Ovis aries: one gene and its partners. The protein of the gene in region 3 interacts with the protein of the main gene of each other region in a pairwise test. Links are inferred from orthologs where the notes say so. Each region holds a gene or a part of one and is shown on either strand. Other genes may lie near its edges. The genes, in order: TRIM10, MAGED1, TTC23 and CREBZF.

What was found.
Region 1: the proteins of TTC23 (region 3) and TRIM10 interact in binary tests that used the Homo sapiens proteins (3 or more experiments, as listed by UniProt). The two-hybrid records come from large-scale screens. The link is inferred for Ovis aries from reciprocal best matches to the Homo sapiens genes TTC23 and TRIM10.
Region 2: the proteins of TTC23 (region 3) and MAGED1 interact in binary tests that used the Homo sapiens proteins (3 or more experiments, as listed by UniProt). The two-hybrid records come from large-scale screens. The link is inferred for Ovis aries from reciprocal best matches to the Homo sapiens genes TTC23 and MAGED1.
Region 4: the proteins of TTC23 (region 3) and CREBZF interact in binary tests that used the Homo sapiens proteins (3 or more experiments, as listed by UniProt). The two-hybrid records come from large-scale screens. The link is inferred for Ovis aries from reciprocal best matches to the Homo sapiens genes TTC23 and CREBZF.

Annotation. Positions count from the first base shown.
Region 1 is NC_056073.1:27,848,186-27,853,030, reverse strand, and holds part of TRIM10 (tripartite motif-containing protein 10), read right to left. Parts: intron 4,406-4,845; coding exon 4,310-4,405; intron 3,794-4,309; coding exon 3,563-3,793; intron 2,828-3,562; coding exon 2,805-2,827; intron 2,473-2,804; coding exon 2,357-2,472; intron 1,190-2,356; coding exon 1,157-1,189; intron 1-1,156. UniProt on the Homo sapiens protein: E3 ligase that plays an essential role in the differentiation and survival of terminal erythroid cells. May directly bind to PTEN and promote its ubiquitination, resulting in its proteasomal degradation and activation of hypertrophic signaling.
Region 2 is NC_056080.1:53,607,465-53,611,063, forward strand, and holds part of MAGED1 (melanoma-associated antigen D1), read right to left. Parts: intron 3,188-3,599; coding exon 2,519-3,187; intron 2,387-2,518; coding exon 2,323-2,386; intron 2,107-2,322; coding exon 2,027-2,106; intron 1,831-2,026; coding exon 1,739-1,830; intron 1,505-1,738; coding exon 1,425-1,504; intron 1,334-1,424; coding exon 1,291-1,333; intron 981-1,290; coding exon 918-980; intron 361-917; coding exon 246-360; intron 3-245; coding exon 1-2. UniProt on the Homo sapiens protein: Involved in the apoptotic response after nerve growth factor (NGF) binding in neuronal cells. Inhibits cell cycle progression, and facilitates NGFR-mediated apoptosis. May act as a regulator of the function of DLX family members.
Region 3 is NC_056071.1:6,835,591-6,841,107, reverse strand, and holds the start of TTC23 (tetratricopeptide repeat protein 23), read right to left. Parts: upstream 3,508-5,517; 5' UTR 3,266-3,507; intron 3,222-3,265; exon of another isoform or gene 3,071-3,221; intron 1-3,070. UniProt on the Homo sapiens protein: Participates positively in the ciliary Hedgehog (Hh) signaling.
Region 4 is NC_056074.1:9,414,705-9,420,270, reverse strand, and holds the start of CREBZF (CREB/ATF bZIP transcription factor), read right to left. Parts: upstream 3,792-5,566; 5' UTR 3,545-3,791; coding exon 2,475-3,544; coding exon of another isoform or gene 2,471-2,474; exon of another isoform or gene 2,263-2,470; coding exon 2,247-2,262; 3' UTR 1,059-2,246; exon of another isoform or gene 1-1,058.

The DNA of each region.
Region 1 (4,845 bases), on a different chromosome or scaffold from region 3:
CCTTTAGGATGGACTGGTTGGATCTCCTTACAGTCCAAGGGACTCTCAAAAGTCTTCTCCAACATCACAGTTCAAAAGCATCAATTCTTCGGTGCTCAGCTTTCTTTATAGTCGAACTCTCACACCCATCCATGACTACTGGAAAAACCATAGCTTTGACTAGACAGACCTTTGTTGGTAAAGTAATGTCTCTGCTTTTTAATAGGCTGTCTGTTTTGGTCACAGCATTAGTTAGTTGGTTAGCGTGTTTGGACACGTGGGCTCTCATCTGGTTCTCTGCAGTCCCCTGAAAAGCACTTCTGCAGCCTGCAAACTGGCTGACGCCCAGAGCTGTGTGTGCCTGCTCTCATTTCCTCTGCTGACACATCACGTTCTATCCCTCCTGTACCTCAGAGGGCGGGGACCTCCCCCCACCCCCAGTCCAAACTTCATGATCACTCCCTGGGTGCATGTGACTCATATGCCCAGTCTTCTTCGCTCCTGTCAGGCTCCCTGACTCACCCACGGGGTATTCATTCTGCCTCAGGAATCTACAATCAGGCCGTCTGAGGGCCACTTTTTGACATCAAAACTATGCATAGTGTTACCTTTAGTATCCATAAGCTGAGACAAATACGTGAATTCTGATATGTCCATGAATTAGAGCCGCTTCCAAGAAGCCCATGACATCCCAGTGTCTTTGGCTGATAGACTAGGAACAATGGCCTTGAGAGGGGTCCAGTCTTTATTCCTTTCCTGCCCACAGGTTACACTCCTATCATCCATGAAACAATACCTGGGAGAGAGTGGGGGGTCCTGACAATTCTAAAAATGTTATTCTAAATCCAGATCAAAGTTCCCCTCACCCAGGAAGCCCTTCCCGATAGACCTTGGCCCAGGCTGATTTAATCTTTCTATCTCGTCAAGTGCAGATCAGAACCTGAACTTCTGTCAGGTACGTGGTATGAGTGTGTGCGTCTCTCCTACAGTCCTTATGAAGGCAGTGACATGTATCACTGCCATGTGTGACATTATGTGTGTATGTACATTTATTTTTATATATATGATATATATGTATTTGACTAGTACATTTTCCAGTGTGGAACCCGGCAAAATTATCCGTCCTTTTCAACTTTAGATTTCTCACTCCCTCCCCATACTGACAGAGGCAACTCACCTGGCTCATAATCCAACTCAAAGCTGAGTTTTTCTGTAAAGAGGAAGTAAAACAAGATGCTATTTCATTAGTCTCACAAAACCACAGAACATTCACTGATGAGGAAACTGAGGCCCCAGAAAGGGAAGGGACAAAGAGAAGAATGGCAGGTGGAACCTTCTAGACCAGTGGTTCTGAACTTGAACTTGCATCAGAGCCCCCGGACCACTTGTTTTTGATTCAAGTGGCCCAGGGTGGGGCCGAGATTTGCTTTTCTGGCAAGTTCCCAGGGCATGCTGATGCAGGCTGGGACTTCATTTTGAGCCTCACTGTCTAGCTCTGAGTAGGCAGAGACCATGTTTACCAACAATGCCTCACACAGAGCCCAGGACATAGTAAATGCTCAAGAAACATCTACTTAATGAACAAATAAGTGGGTTAATTTGTTTCTCATTCTGCTTGGAAATAATTTAGGGGAGAGTCAAAGGTCAGCCTTTGACGAGAGTAAAACTTCCTTCTCTGCTAGGCCACTTACTGGCAGGAAGTGGACTTAGGGGAAAACTCTGCTAAGGTGACTTTTTTTTGTAGGCAGGTCATATAGAACTAGGTGGTATCATTCATGATGTCATGTGGGATGAGGGGGAGGTGCTGGCAGCAAGCCACATTTCTGACTCTCATTTCAAACCCTCCAGTCCCTCACCTATCACCACTCCCTGTCCCGGAAAAGGGATCATGGTCCCCACATGGGCAGTTCAACTCTGAGGACCAGGCTAATGGGGTGGAGGATGGGGGAAAGCCAGGGAAAGGAGGAAGGAAAGTCAGCTAAGACAGGGCACAGAAAAATACTCTCAGTGGCTATTAATTAACAATCATAAAAAAGCTCATCATATATTACAAATGCCCCTGTGGCTTTTTAAAATTATTGACAGTGACCAATTTTTGTTAATCATTATCTTACATGTCACTTCATGACAAGTGATTAGATTGGTTTCATTATTTTTCCAAATAGTTAAAATTTTGTGGAAAGCTTCAGCTTTATTATCTCACTTCGTTGTCACATTATTCTGAAAGCAGATTTTATAAAGATCGGCAAATAAGGAAAACAAGGCACTGGAAAGGCTTGAGCCTTGTCAAAGGTCACACAAGCATAGGGAAGCAGGCATGGAGGCCACTCGTAAGCCCAGGCTTCATGGCCACCTGTGCTCCATGGGGTCCTCTTACCCAGAAACATCTTCATCTCCCTCCGCAGTGGGAAGGCTTGCTGGGGGAAGTCCCGAATCCTCTGGCCCAGCTCCGGAGATATAGCCACTGGTTTCCGGCACCTTCTGGTTTCACATCTAGGGGCACAGAAATGGTGGGGTCTGGGATTTATCCTCCTTAGCACTGCCCCCAGACTCAGTTGGTCATCTTCTAACTGAGCTTGGAGGTGCCAGTCCGCATGGGCAGACATCATTCCTCTAGGATGGACCCCCTTCCTCTCCTCACTGCCCACTTTCGGGTAATGCCATGCTGGGTGTGTACCTATGGTAATACGTGGAAATGCAATTGAGGATGTGAAAGTTTACATGTGAGTTTTATCTGTAAAGTGAAAACGTATGTTTGTTTGGCAATAACCAGGCATGTGGTGCCTGTCTGTTTATGTGTGTGGGGAAAGAAGAGACAAACTTACCTTATTAGAGTGCTTCTGATATCCTAGGAGAAAGAGAGAAAGCAGAGATTGGTTTCCACTTCTCCTTCCCACAAGAAAAGACAAAAATACTGTAATCTCAGCCCTAGATAGAAAAGGACACCAGATCCATGGACTCACAGCATTTTAGGGTTTATGAGGCTTCAGGGATCTTGGAGCCCAACTGCTTTATTTTATAAGATGTAGACAGTGAAGTGACCTGGCCCTCAGAGGCAAAGACAAGTCCCATCCCAAGGTCACCTGCTTCTCAGTCCCAAGTGTGTCCCCCTAAGTCATGCTGCCTTTGTGATGCTGTATTGGGACCCCAGTATCTCTCCTCCAGCAAGACAAAGTGACATAGACTAGAAAGAACATCCTGACTGGGGGGTGTGGCACAGAGAGTGGTTTGCCTTGAAAACAGCACCTGACATTTGTTTGCATAGTGCTTGATGCTTTGCAAAGTGCTACTTTCACTTGCATTTTACTGTGGGATCCTCACAAATAAATAAAGTATTTGGGAGATAAATAAAGCATCTTCCCTATCTGAATGGATGGTGGGATGAAGAGACCACAATCTTCGCAAAGTGACCCGGGAGCTCTGGGGGAAGCAAGGACTCTTAGAATGCAGAACTTGTGGTCCTGTGACCCATCTTGCACTTGGGGTACAAAGATCTGTGAGTGAAGAAGAGATGGCTCAGATGGTAAAGATGCCGCAAAGCCTAGGCGAGCACAGGGGGTGGGGGTGGGGGCTCAGCTCTCACCGTCAGGAGCTCCCTCGCCGGTCTCTCCTTCTTCTCCTCCAGTTCCTCAATGAGGGTGTTGAACCGGCCGATCTCCCCAGTGACCAGGACATCAAATTCATCCCGATGCTTCAGGATGTCCTCATCCAGCTTCTCCAGCTGGGCTAATAGGATGTTCTGTTGCTCTTCCAGGAACTGGCTCAGATGTGCAAACTCAGAAATCACCTTTTGTTTCTTGGTGGCCACCTGAGTCTGAGAGGGCAGGAGAAGAAAGAAGCCAGGAAGTTATTCCTCCTCTTCTTCCCCTTCCTTTTCCTTCTTTTTCCTTAATTCACTCCCATCTCCCTCCTGGCCCAGATCCATATCTTCCAAGGTTTGGTGGTAAAGTCAGAGTCCCCTAGTCTCTAGGTCCCTGGACAGACTTGGAACCACGGCGTGGTTTCCTTTCCACCTGGCCTGCCATTTCCGGGAGGAGATGTAAGGAGGGGGTGAGGAAACCTTACTTCCTGCCGTTTACCAAGTGTAACAACGTGCGTGTCACTAAGGGACAGTCGTTACAGCAATTCAGTGAGATAGTGACGATTTTTAATCTTCACTTCACAGGAAAATAAACAGAGCATAGAGAGCTGTTTGAGGTCATAGAGCTAATTTGTTTCAGGATTCAAACTCAGAAGGACTTCAAAGCCCCTTTATGCGATGTTTCCTTATTTCAGATAGGCACTGGAGCCAGAGGAAAGCAAGAGGGCTAAGGAAGGGATGATGACCTACCAGGAGGACTTGTATCCTTCGATTTTCCCTTGACTGGATTTCTTGAATCTCCTCTCTCTCTTTTCTTAGACATTCAAGACACTTCTGTATTTGTTCCTGGAAAGAAGGGGCATAAAATATCTAAGATGGAGGTGGGGGAGGGATAAATGAGAAGTTTGGGATTAGCAGATACAAGCTACCATATGTAAAACAGATAAACAACAAGGACCTACCGTACAGCACAGGGAACTAAATTCAATACCTTGAAATAAATTATAATGGAAGAGCCTGAAAATATTTATGAACCACTTTGCTGTACACTAGAAACTAATACAAAGCTGTAAATCAACTATACTTCAATTAATTTTTAAAAAATATTTAAGATGGAAACAATGATTTGTGAAGAAGTGTCATCTCTGTCTCCTGGAATAGAGTGACCCAATGGAAGGAGTTGGGCCTCAGCTGACAAAGCCTGGGTTGTTATTGTCCTTAACAGCTGACTCTCTTTGGGTCTTTTTCCTCTTGTTTGTCCCTCCAAGAATTTTGATCAGGGCTTT
Region 2 (3,599 bases), on a different chromosome or scaffold from region 3:
ACCTGAGATGAGGAGTAGAAAATAAAGCCCATGATAGTATTAGTTAATATTTATGAAGCACCCACTATATACTTAGCACCCTACTTTGTGCTACTGTTTACACAGTAACAACAAAAAATACCACCAACAATGTGGCACCTACCATGTGCAATACCTAAGAAAGATCTCATTCCTGCTCTGGACTTCTCCCAGCCAGTCATACTTCATCCCTTAACCTATCAAGTCTAGAGCTGTTCCTCTATTACCTCTGCAATGAATCGTAGCACTTTCATCTTGCTAGTCTCATGGTAGGATCGGAGGCCCCAGAGGAACTCATATTCAGGAGGGTTGCTGTTGGGTACTCGTCTGTAGTCTAGGTACCTTAGAAAGAGGAGAAAGGCCTTTGTTTCTACTCAGCCAAAATGAGAGTCCATCAATGCAAAATAATCCGAGATTCTGACACCTCAGATTTCAGGTAGCAACTCCCTCCAGTCTCATTCCTAAACACAGATTATTTACCCTCTAATAATTAGGCCTTCAAATTCCTGTGTTTCTACACTAGTCACCTAGGACTAGAGGATGACTTATGTAGAGTCATAGAAAGGACAACACTTTTTCACCCCCTCTGCCACAGTTCTGACTCCGGGTTGTTACAATCTTGTTACTGAACCACAGATAGGCCCATTGCAAAGCCTCTGCTAACCCAGCCTTAGGAATATCTACTGTGGGTGTGGTGGACAAGCTTCACTTGCAAGATAACTATACTGCAGGAAAATTCAGCCACAAGGAATATACTCAGTAAATATTCCTGAGTATATATGTATGCATATGCATAGGTATAGTTAATATAAGAAATGAGCAGCATGGGAAGGGCTTTCTGAGGCTGACCAGCACACAGAATTCATGAGGACAAGACAAGCCACTTAGGCATCGCTTACTTTTGTTTTACAAATTCATAAGTGAGAAGCTTCCTCAGATCTCCAAGGAGGGGATGTCTTACTCTGAGAGCAAAAAAAAAAAAACAAAAACAAAAAAAAACAAAAAAAAAACAAAAAAAAAAGGGGGGGGGGATTCATAATTAGAGACTATGACATTGCCCAAAGGAAAGAAAACAGTTTTCCAGCACAGAAGTCAGAGATAAGAGAAGAAGCAGAGACCAGGACTATTTCCCCATCCACCCAGGTCACATTCTTGGGCTCTGTATCTCCCCAAACCAATTCCCTTAGACTACCAGGTTGATGCAATCCTGGAACCATCCTCTGTTGCCAAAGAATCATATAACAGGCAAGAGATGAGAGAGCCCAATCATACCCAGGACGTAGTCCCATCTTGCGTAGTGCCTCCCAGAGGACAGCTGCAATGGGAGGCAAGGGGAGACAAGGGATGGAAAATGAACATGGAAATCAGGCGGCAGCCAACCCCCAGCTGCTGGCCCGGCCACTCACCTTCACTGGCACGGTTGCCATTCATGAAGATGACACCCAAAATCACTAGAAGGAGACCCAGTTTTGGTGTGTCTTTGGTCCTAAAGAAGTTTTTTTTTTTTTTTAAAAAAAGGAATATATTTTCAGCAGGCATTTACACAGGCACCCCAGGCAGTTTACCCATCCAGCTTTCCTAGTATTCCTCAGCTAGGAAACAACTCTACCCCAACTCTGCCCATGACCTGCTATGTGACCCTGAATCCTGATCTACTTGAAACTCCTAGGAAAAAACCGCCACTGAGAATGGCAATGTTTCCCCTCCTTTCCCATCTTACGTTCCTAGTATGCCAGCCAGGGACTCAGGGGTGCTGATGAGAATATACAGGTGTTCTTCCTTGTCAATTTCTTTCAGTTGAATTCCAAATTTCTACAGGGGCAAGAAAACAGACTATGAAATTACAAAATCTAGCATAAGCATACCCACATTCACTCCCTGTGATTTGCATCAAACTCCCAATAGGAATCCCATGAATCTTTAAACCAAGACTTTCTCATAATATCTATCAAAGCCCCTCCTCGCAAACTCTTCCCCATCATTCTGTCCTTCAGGGTTGCCTTCTCACCTTCTCCAGGACAAAGCACGCACGTTCAATGATTTCTGGATACACATCAGTGTATTCACGGATGATATCCCTTAGCATTTCTGCAGGTGAGAGGAGGGAGCATCTGAGCTGAGCAGGGGCCACAGAGCTGTGGCATTTTTGCCAGCCCTGCCCAGGGGAACACAGTAGGCGAAAAAGGAAGACTCACCCATGGAAAGAGGGGATTGAAGGGGAGGGGACATATAAGCACAGAGATATCCATAGAGAATGGGGTGAGGGGAAGGGCAGATCTCTGGGAGAGGGTACTGAATGCCTACCTGAGCGCTTGATGGGCACCTTTGTGTAATCTTTAAGCATCAGGTACTTGACCAACTTATTAGCCTGAGAGGGAAAAAGGAACTCATTAGAGTTATAAGATATTGACAGAACACTTGGTTGAATTATAGATAGAAGTACAACAAAGAAAAGAGGTGAGGGTGGGTGGGGAGAAGCAACTGAAGTTACAGTTCTTACTCTTTCCTGAAGAAGGGCCACATCTCGGGGCTGTGAGGCACCCAGGTTCTGTGAGGCACGCGAATTAGGAGAGGGGCGCAGGTTTGGTGAGGGGCGCAGGTTTTGCCAGTCTGGTGGAACTGGCCAATCAGTGGGGATCCAGTCAGGTGGGAGCGGCCAGTCAGTGGGGAGTGGCCAGTCGGGTGGCAGTGGCCAGTCAGGGGGTAGTGGCCAGTCGGGAGGGCCTTGCCAATCTGGAGGACCTTGCCAGCCTGGTGGAGTCTGCCATCCAGGTGGGGTCTGCCACCCAGGTGGATTCTGCCAGGCCAGTGGGTTTGGCCAGACAACCGGACCAGGCCAGACAATGGGGTTCGGCCAGATCACTGGGTTCTGCCAGATCACAGGGTTTGGCCAGATCACTGGGTTCTGCCAAGCAACTGGGTTTTGCCAGGCTGGTGGGGTCTGCCTTGCTGGGGGGCTCTGACGTGCTGGTGGGGTCTGCCTGGTTGGCTGATTTTGCCAGCCTGATGGATTCTGCCAGGCCAGTGGGGTCTGCCAGAGCACATTGGGGGGTGCGCCAGGTGGGCTCTGAGTGGTAACTGGAACTGGTGCAGACCTCCAGGTCCCTGGAGCCAGTGGGGCCCGCCTCTGATCCCCACTGCTACTCTCTTCCACATTCAAGTTATTAATCTGCATCATCAAAGAAAAGGAAGGTCAGGGTTACCAAGTGTTTCTATGTCCTCACCGTATCTATTTCAGGAAGGCCCCCTAAAACCCTCACCTGTAGTGACAGCCTGACCTACTAGCCAATGGTCACCCTGAGTCCTGGGCTTGTCTTTCACTGTCTTCCAGGCAGGAGTTTCATCTCTGAACCAGGCCAGGAGCAACCCAAGGGTGGGGCCTGAGGCTTCTCTTCTTCCTATGTCCATCACTGGCTCTGCTTGTACCACCCTGGACAAATCACTCAAGTCACTTCACCTCTCTGGGACTTATTTTCCTTCTCTGTAAAACTGAAACTATGATCCCTAGCTGGTATGAGGTACCGAGAAGATTTAATGAGTGAGATAACCTGTGTGAATGTGCCTAGGCCAAGATCTAACAC
Region 3 (5,517 bases):
TAAGGGTATGGGGTTAAGAGATATAAACTACTATGTATCAAGCAACAAGGATACATTGCACAGCACAGAGAAATAAAGTCATTATTTTATAATAACTTTAAATGGAGTATAATCTATAAAAATCCTGAATCACTATGTTGTATACTTGAAAACTAATATTCTAAATCAACTATACTTCATTAAAAAACAAAAGGAATGACAGACCAATACATATGACAACATGGTTAAGTCTCAGAAACCTTATGCTGAGTGAAAGAAGCAAGATGCAAAATATCACATATTGCATGATTCCATCTGTATTAAATGTCCAGAAAAGGCAAGTCTATAGAGACAGAAAATTTATTATTGATTGGCCGGGGTTGGGGTAAGAATGAGGAGTGCTTGCAAATGGGCATGAGGTATCTTTTTACAGTGATGGACATTTTTCTAAAATTGGAATGTAGTGCTAGCTATACAACTCTGTAAATTTTCTTTAAAAAAATCATTGAGTTATATCCTTAGTGTGAGTTTTATAGTATGTAAATTATACCTTACTGTTAAAAAATAGATATGAAACCACCATGCCATTTTATATGTAATTCTTTTATAAATAAATCTTCTAACTACAAGACTTTTATAAGATAGGGAAGGAAGCCCTGATCCACAAAAACAATATGACAGAGGTTCCCAAAAGTTTGAAAACCAATCTTAATATTCTGGCTCTCCACATAGATGAGTCACATGGCATTAGTGCCTGACACCTAATAGGCCTCAATAAATGTTTACTGGACAGAAAATTAAACCATCTTTACAGGATGACTTTTCCCCAAACATATCATCCACTTGATAGATGAAACGCAGTTGATTAGGGCATTTTTTCCTTAAGAAAACTTACATGAAACGTCAACATCTCCAGGGAAAAAGTTGTCTTAGGTAGTCAGAATCATTTATTAGGCTATGATGAGGTAAGATACTAACTGCTATGTGCTACAGACCCTCTTGATTTAGTAGTGGGTGTAGATGGAGGTGGGGAGTAGGAATGTTTGATCCAGAGTCTCTCAAGAGACCTAGGTTGACCAAGGTTTAACTGTACATCAACAAGAGTCATGGCAGAGTAACAGAGGTGGAAAAACTGTGCATGGGCTTTTCATTATCATCGCCCATACATGACCCAACTCACCTGCACTAACATTTCATTTGCTCCCTAACTGCAAAGAGGGCTACATACCCAGGGGAGTAAATGGAATACTTGGTGAACATCGCAGTCTGCCACACCTGCCATCAAGGGGCCTTGTCTCAGGATTCTTTTCCACAGCTAGAGACAACATCCTTCTCCATCTAACTGATTAAGAACTGCTAATCAAGAAGTTAGGATAGATGACCTTCAGATTCTCTGAAGCAAATTTTGAAGCAGGAGGCAAATATTCTGCTTGGTATCCCTGAAGCACTTTGCTTTTTGGAGTGGAGGTGGAGTCCTTGATTCACCTTTTCCCCTCCCCACCCCCCACCACTGGAAGGATATCATCTGGTACATGGTAGCAGCTCATGGAGTATATGGAATTGAATTTTGTCTCAGAGAAACAGGTCACGTGAAAGCCTACAGTCTGAGTACGAATATCTCCCATCCTCCCATGGTATTCTTCAGTCACAACTTTTTTTTTGGTTGACATTCCCTCAAATCAGTTAAATAGAACCAAGAAATACAGGTAAATTCTGAGGGAAAAGGAGCAAAAAACGATGCAATGTAAACAATCACTTTTACTGTTTTATAGCACCACAACTATCACCTCATCTATACATAGTATCTTGTTATATATTATTACACATAATAATAAATAGTGCTAAACAAAAAACAAGATCAGTGCTTTAAAATAAAAGAAAGAAATGAATCAAGATTTATGTTATTCCCATGTGATGATATTTGGAGAAAATGTCTCATGAGGCTGCTACCAATCTACATTCCATTATTTATAGTATTAATATTTTAGCTCCTGGTCTCTGTTCTTGAAAGTCTTATCTTTTTCAAATATTACTTTTAAAATCCAGGACCAAACTCCTTAATTCTGGCAATTTTGACTTTCTGTGTAACATTCTCATGCTTTTTTCTTTTTTGAAGATTAAAACAAGATCCCCAAATGAAACTTCTGTTGCTCAGAGTTAATTATTCTTTATGCTGCACATATTCAGTAACAACTCACCCACTACCTGGGGTGCTATTTCTTTTCTTTTTTGACTGAAATTTCTACACAATTTCTACTGAAATTTTGCCCATTGCTCAAGCCCCAAATGGGTCTTAACCCCACTGTGAAACTCTCCCTGAATATTTCTGCTCTACTGGCCTAAGCACCTGAAGAACCTATGGTCTACAACAGTCATCTACGCACCAAGAACTATCTAGAAGTCTTCATTAAACTTTTTGAGTCTCCTTCTCCCAGGGAGACAGAGTATGAGCTTCTTTAGAGAGTGTATTTCATTATTTTATATCCCCATATATGGATTAATAGAGGACACTCAAGAAATATTTTTGCATACCTACTCTTGAGCTAGGCCTTGTAGAGGAATAAATGTGCCACTAGGTATATTTATTAGCTGAATTAATGTTTGAAGAATCATTACGTTTTTATATTTTGTAATTTTACATTGGGCTGGATTTTTTTAAAATGCTGCTATTCCAAATTAAGCTTTAATATACATCAACCTCATTTATCAGTATTTCCTGAATTTATATTTTAGTTTTAGTGAAAATATCATCCTTGAAAATATAAATGCTGGACTTCATTTTTGAGAATTTATCCTTACATTCATCACCTTGTGATTCTATTTCATATACCAATATTATGTTTTCCTTTGTCATTAGCAGATATGTCCCTGAATCTCCAAATCTACATATATACACAAAACTTGGGTCCAAAGATGATAACTTTAACAGTTGGATTGCCTATTATGCTAGGTATGATAATACACAAAGAAAAATATCTATTTCCCCTAATAATTACAATAACATTATTAAGTGTTCCTCTAAATCCATATTAAAGCAATAACAAACCACAGATTCTTGGAGTATAAAATAATCTTTAGTAAATTTTATTACCTTGTTCCCTTTACTATTCAAAAATCCACTGCTAATCTGCGAATAATGTTCTTTCTAAAAGAAAAACACCCTCTGAAAAACTCTCCTCCTGCCATTCTTGCATTATGCCAGCAGTTTATTTCCTTTTCCTTTGACATCTACTCCTTTAAAGCTAGCAAAAGAAAAAAAAAAAAATCAGAAAAGTTTAACTCTCACATCTCTCACTGTGTCGTAAAATCCTTTGTCAGTTACCCTGTGGGCTTGAGAGTTGTCCGTTTCTTTTTCGCTCGAATGACAGTTGTCTCGGCACCCTGATTACAGTTTGATCCACGCTGTACTGGTTTTATCAGTTTGGTGATTCTTTTTACAGATTGAGCACCGTGATAAAAGTCTAAAGTTGGGTAATTCCAGGCTAAATTGGAGCAGTCTTTTCCCGTAAAGCGACCTGGTACCACACTAAATTCCAGGGAGAATGAATGATAGATTATGCACCAATAGGGAGTGGAGGAGAGTATTTTGTTTAAGTTTGCAACCCAATCCTTGGGAGCCAGAGGTGGGATTTTTAAAACGGGGTTGGTCTTTTCTTTGGAATTTTCTTAAAGTGGTATCACTGCCCGTTGATGTTAAAGTTTACCAAAGACTGCCAAATTACTGGTTTGGAATAGAGGATTGCCTCCGCCCCCCTTGTTTTGAGTGAGGCAAAGTGTGAAACTTACATTTGACAAATTCAGACAACTTTTAAGAGTGTCCATAGGATAATATGGGCTTCCGAGGTGGCTCAGTGGTAAAGAATCTGCCTGCGATTCTGAAGACGCAGGTTCGATCACTAGGTGGGGAAATGGCAACCCACTCCAGTATGCTTGCCTGGAAAATTCCATGGACAGAGGAGCCTGGCAGGCTATAGTGGGTGGGGTGGCAGAGTCCGACACCACTGAGCAGGGCACACACAGGATAATATATTAATACAAAGAATCACATGGCTACTTTTCTGTCAGTTTCAGATGGTAGGCGTTATTTTGCCATAGGTCTTATTTTTACTTAGTATAAGTCTGCTCTGTAGGTTACCTCTAACAGTAATTAAGTAGATTGCTTGACAATGAACCAGTAGTTTAATCAACATCAAGCTTTTCAAAGAATAATAGTGGTTTCTGAAGAGGAAGTTTTTTTAAAACTTCATTTCAGAAGAAACGTTGTCATATTAACAAGCGAGGAACTTTAAAAAGTATTTTGTACTGTTCCCTAACAATGCTCGGATTTTTTTTTTTTTTTTACTTTTAACCAGCATGAAAGATTCTTCCTTTTATGACTTTCTGCTGACACGGGAATATTCTTAAATATTTATTGATAGACGACTCAGTCATGCTAGGAAATGCCAGAGTATTTTACTCACTAAATTGTTAGTGTCCTTTTAACGATCGTTTCTCGCAGCACACTTCAAGTATTTCAAGAGCAGAGACTGGGTTACCGCCTCAAGTTTGGAACGAACTTGCCAGCGCGCACTGACTTTTTATACTGTGCTTTAATAAGCTTACTACTTGATCACTAACCTTGGCCATATTACAGAAAACCACCGGGTCTCAGTTGTTCCTCCGTCAAACGAGTACAATAATAGTATCTGTGTCATAGGATTGCCATGAAGTTAAGTGAGATAACCTGTGCACAGATCTTAGACCCTTGCCTGGTACACACTGGGTGTTATTCTTGTAATTTCTCAACGTATGTATTGAATACGGGGACAAGTGCGTCAGTGAACGTATGAACAAAAGAACTGATAAATTACTGACGGTCGCTGAGGCCGGAGCCAGCTAAACCACCCTCTCAAAACTCTGAGCACAAACCTCCATCTCAACCGTAACCCTCGAAGCCAGAGCCGGAAGCAAGGACCGAGCCGGAGGCGGGTGCAGTCGCAGAGAAGCCGCAGTTTTGACCAATAGACGCGTCGCTTGGAAAACGAGCATCTCGCCCGACCTATCGTAAGACGGCGACCACAGGGGCGTATTATCGCGAGCTTCCTCTCCCGGGCTCACTCCTCCCCCAAACCTCTGAAGAGAGGGTCCCGCCCCGTCCCGCCCCGCTTTCGCCCGCGCCCCGCCCCGTCGCGGCCGGCGCTCCGCCCCGCCTGCCGAGCCCGGGCTAGCAGTCCGGCGCCCCTCAGCTCGGGAGCGCTGGCTCCGCCGGCAGAGGTGAGTGGTGCTTTGCTGCTTCGGATGTCTCACGTAGCAGTGCCCTCTGGCCCGGCCGCTGGCCAGGCAGGCCGAGCCTGGTAGAGGCGTCGGGCCGCAGCAAGTGGACCCCGGCCCGAGCGGGCCCACCCGGGCCTCGGGTCGCCACTGCCGCCGGGCCCTCCTAGCCCTAGGTGGTCGCAGAATCCTTTCACCGAGTCTGTGAAATCCTTTCTACTAGTCTGACTGCTTCCAAACTCTAAAGGCGAGAGGGCTTGATTAACTGGGCAAAATGGTATGTGTTTT
Region 4 (5,566 bases), on a different chromosome or scaffold from region 3:
GACAAAATCACTGTAAGTCACCAAAATTTGAAAAAAAGAGAATGAAATGGAAACTAAGAAAGACAGTTAAAACATAAGGAACCTAACAAAGCAGCTTTTAAAATAGTTGATACTAATCTCCATTTTCAAAAGTTCTTAATCAAGTATTTCCGAAAACTGCCATTTATAAAATGACATTCTAAAAATCTATACTTGGAATTTCAAAGCATCCCAATTCAGAAAGCTTTGACTGTTTCTCCCCAGCCCCCAAACTTCAAATAATGCAGGAAAATCATTGACATTAGGAAGAAAATATTCCAAAGGAATGGTATTTTTAGAAAAACGCACTTACTGCTTCCAGAACCTAAGACCCACAGCATTAACAACAATCATTTTTCCTATTTTCATCCATTGTTTTCCAATGTCATGTTAGAGATGAATAAATTCTTTGAGCCCATAACTGAAAGATCAACAAACCTGATTTTATTATGACACCATATTTTTGTCATTGGTACTGCACAAAATTATATACAAAGATATATATATACAAAATGTTCAAGTATTAATTAAATTTCAATTCAAGGCTTCTGTTTCAAAAAGCTACATTTAACATATTCCATAAAGATAGCACAAATTAGTCATTTCAAATAATTTTTCCAACTACTTTTGGTTTATATATATTATATATTATTCAGTAGGCACTAAAAATCCATGCAGCTGCATTGTGAGGGGCTTGCTCCTGCACTTAGGTATAAGCAGGTTCATCACTCCAGGTTGTGAGTTTGGCTACTATCCGTATTCATGCTCAAGTGCAGTAGATGATTTTACAAAATATGCTGTAATGCACTGGAAACCAGAGACCAAGTTAGGTCTCAGAGTGTATTATCTAGCAACAAAACATTTACAGTTGTGCAAGAACAAGATTCCATTTTCATAACCAAATAACAACAAAATAAAACATTTTATGTGTAAGATAACTTACATCTTTGGACTGCTGGAAAATACTTTTTAATTATGAACATTTTAAAATAAAAGCAGAAGCCCTGATATTACCTCTTTTTCCTCATTTCTTATACTACCTTTTAAAATAAAGCAGGAAATGTGGCCAGCAGCTGGTCCCGTCTCTTCTGCCCCAACAGCTGTATCCACTTTAGCACAAAGAAAAACAAGGATGCTAAATACGTATATACTTTATCAAACAGTGATGTTTCACAAAGAATTTCTTCATGTCCCGTACATTGAAGGACATCATGGCTAAATCTATATACAATCGGATGACAGAGTACTTCAAAGGAAGACTGTGTCCCAACTTTGGAAAAGTGTCAATCGTGTCATTAAGTAGGACAAATACCTTTGAAATATGGAGAGTAAGATTCTTTGTGAAGCCTCACTTTACACGTTTTCATTCACATTTCATAACCTTCAATATCTAATCATACATAAATTTAACCTAAAAATTTAATACAACAAAAATAAAGGTGTTCAACAATTTCTTCATACTCAGTGATAGGGTAATCACTGTGCTGGTCCTCAAAGAAACATTTCATTAACCATTCTTATTCCTCCTTCAAGTAACTAACACAGGAGTCTGGTGTGCATGTTAATTTCCAACTTCTCTAATGGTGAAATATAAAAATCTATTAATCTGAATAGACTGTATGTCTAGATCTATTAAAACTGAAAGGCATTCTTATATTTAAGAGATTTCTGTCATCTCCAGCAAAGTAACTGTCACATTTGTGCATGCCCCAAGTACTTATTGTCAACCTCTGAAAAGTTGCTCTAAAATTGGAATTCCAATTTGCACCTTGTACAACTCGGAAGTTCCATTCAACTTCACCTGTGTCACTGTCTCCAAACTGTATCTCTATTAGCAGCTTTCAGTGTACAGTTGGAACCGATGTCATCCAAGGCCATGTCCACACTGGGGACAGAAGAGCTAGGTACACGCAAGTCTGAACAAGGGGACACATTAACAGCTATTTCAACCAGAAGAAGCATCTTGAGTACATTATTGACCAGCACAAGTCTGTTTCCAGGGTGGACAGGGCCCAAATTAGATTCCCCTCCCAACTTCCGAAAAAGAAAACAACAAACAAACAAACAACAAAAAAAAAATCACACACACGCACAAATTGAGATGTTGCCCATTAAAGTAGACTAAGCAGCAGAGCATGAGCGTTACGTGAAGAGATGGGTCCTTACCAGGTGGTGAGGCGGGAACGACTGTTCTGTAACCCCTACAACGGAGCCTGGCAGGAAGGAAATCACCTAAAAAAGAAACTGTCAGAGAGATTTAATAGTCACATGTTATCATTAGGAGTTGGTTACAGTGTCACATTCATGCTTTTAGCTAAACACTTAAAGATTCAATATTACTTTTTTTTCCTTCTCTGAAATGTGTCCAGTGACGATGTCCCACTAAGGTGTTTTACATGATGTAAGGGAGTTGAAAGGGGATAAACGCGGATAAAGAGCGGATTACTTGACCCTACATTTTAAGAGAAGACGACGCCTTCCGGGCGCACGCCGAGCAGAACTCCACCGACACCTTATCCTTGTCCACATGCAGACACACTCCTCCGGCCGAGTCGTCCTGGTCTTCCAACGGGTCCGGCTGCTGCTTCCCCACAGGCAGAGCGTAGTCGTGGTCCCCGGCGGGCGAGTCCCTGAAGAGCGAGGTGGTCAGCCGCAGTCCCACGCCGCTCAGCCGGCTCAGCAGGCGAGCCAGTCCGGTCTCGTTGGCTAAGACGGCCCGAAGGTAGCGACTCTCCTCCTGCAGTGCCTGCACGCGCTTGCCCAGCTCCCGGTTCTCGGCCCGCAGCTCCTGGTTCTCGGCGGCCAGCCCCCGCACTCGGCTCTCCAGACCCATCACGTATTCCTTCTTCTTCAGCCGGTTGAGGCGGGCAGCCGCCGCCGCCGCCTTCCGGGGACTCTTTGTCGCCGCCTGGTTGCTGTCGTTGCCGCCGCCGCTGCCGCCGCCTCCGCCGCCGCCTCCCGGGGACTTTCTCCGCCTCTTTTCGCCGCCGCCACTGTCACTGCCGCTGCTGCAAGCTCCGATGCCGTTTAACAGCCTCTGCAGCAGGTCCGAAAAGCGCTGCATCTCGGCAGCCGCGGCCTCGTCGTCGTCGTCGCCTCTCCACAGGCCACCGCTGTCCGAGCCTCCGCCGGACGAGGAGAGGGGCCCCGGCGAGCTGAGCCCGGGCTCCAGGTGCCAGTCCGGCTGCCGGGGGTCCAGCAGGTCCGCCAGTTCCAGGCCGGACAGAAAGTCCATGTCCTCCGTCTCCTCCCCGGGGACGCTGGCCATCGCCTCCTCCTCCATCTCCTCAGGCGAGGGCGCGCGCGCGGCCACGCCGCCGCGGCCCCCCCTCCCGGCCTCCGACTCGCCCTCGTCGCCGCGCGGCTGTCTGCGGCCGGGAGATCCGGCCGCCGCCGTCCCCTCGTCCTCCGCCGCCCCGGTCAGGTCCGGGGGCAGCGAGCAGGTCGCGACGGGCGCCGGGCTCTCACTACGCGTCGGGGAGTCGCTGCACGAAGCCGCCAGCAGTTTAGTCAGGCTATGCCTCATGGGGCCCGGCGGCGGGCCCACGTAGGCCCCGGGCCCTCAGATCGGGCCTCGCGGGTCCCAGGGACCCAGAACGGGTAGCCGGGGAGCAGGCCAGAACGAAAGAAAGGGGAAGGTCCGCGTCGCCTCCCGCCCCCGCTTGGCTAGTCGACCCCCCGCGCCGGGGCGGGGGGCAGGGAAGGGAGCTGGAAGCAGCGAGGCCCAGCGATGACTCGACCGCGCCACCCAGACAACGGCCTGGCCGGAAGTCAGTGGATCTCGTTCCAGCCCCTCCCACCGCATTTCGCGCTCCACTGGGCTCTAGTATCGCGAGAGTTCGGTAGACCGGGCGTATTTCCAGATCTGCAGTGATGTCATAGTAACAGCGGCAAAAATAACAACAAACCAGGGATTTATTGGAACGGTGGTCTACCCTCTCGGCCCTCGCTTCTCTGTCCTCTGTATTCTAGCTTCCACCTGCAGTGAAGCAACTCTCGCTCAGAACTGATCGATACCACATCTATGAATAATCAAAGTTATCCTGGAATTTAAGACTGCTGATCAAATCCTTTTTGAAATTGCCCCGCTCCCTTACGCTATAGTACAAGATGGTTTCATTCAAACACTTAAATAGTACTAGAAGAAAAAAGAGGTAAATAAGTCATTCTTATGTAATGTTTCCAAATTGTTTAAAAAATTTACAAATAAACAGAATATGTGAAAGAGTATTCTAATTCAACGATACAAACCAATACCTAGACTCAACAATTAACAGTTTGCCATATACACTTTATCTGTATATAAATGTTTGTAAAACTTTTTGCTGAATTATCCCAAAGTTTGAAACAAAACACACCACCTCAACATGCTTCCGTATGCATCTTTAAAAATAACATTCTCTTTCATAATCATACTACTATTATCAGGTCTGGAGAAAATTAACAATCTTGTTAATATTACCTATTACACATATCATATTCAAAATTTGTTCAGCATTCTTCAAAAATAATCTTTTATAGCAGATGTGTTCTTTTGAGCCAGGATCCAATCACAAACCACTTCTTGCATTTGTTATGTTCCCCCGCCCCCCATTTGTCAAACTAGAACACCCCCTTTTACATTTCACATTGGCTTTTTGGAAAAAACAAAGTCAGTTGTCTTGAAAAATCCACCACAATCTGGATTTGTCTGTTTCCTCATGGTGGTGTTTATATTGTTCCTTAAAACCCACAAGGATTTCAGGTTTGAAGCAGTTCACAAATACACTAAAAAAACAGTGAAATAACTCACATTTTTACAAAGCAAGGTCAGTGAAAATACAGATGAAAAAGATAAGGAGTTCTAAAAGGAGGAAAGGTTTGTTTCAGAATCGGATGGACATAAAATCTTACTCATGTTACTCATGTTGAGCTAGTTCAGTAGACTAAGCTTCTTGGTAACCCAAACAAACAAACTTTCCTTTATTTGCTTATAAGTATACATGAATTCCTTAACTGCTTTTCCTGTTCTCACATCTTAAAGAAATTTTTCAATGGGATACTGCATAAAGTAGCAGATAACCTCACCAATAGTTTCCTTTATTTGGCTGTTTCTTAGAAGGATTCAAAGCAAGTTCCAGGAAATTTGGACACTAATAGGTCCCAAACACAGGGTAGGCTTTGATAATTATTTGTTGAATGAATGAAGAAGGTTTCCAACTTTTAACTGAAGGCATTGCATTAAAATTCAATTAAAAACGATTCTGCAAGGGACACAAATAAGCATGACCTGTGGTATCTAGACATGCGTTTGACCAAGCTCCAGGAGTTGGTGATGAACAGGGATGCCTGGTGTGCTGCAGTCCATGGGGTCACAAAGAGGCAGACACGACTAAGTGACTGAACTAACTGACTGATGGTATCTAGAAGAAAAAATTAGTGGCCTCCAGGTAACTCCTTAACCTTCCCATTAGGAAAAGAAAGAAAGGGAAAAGTGAAGTTGCTCAGTCGTGTCTGACTCTTTGCGACCCCATAACCTTTAGCCTATCAGACTCCTCTGTCCATGGGA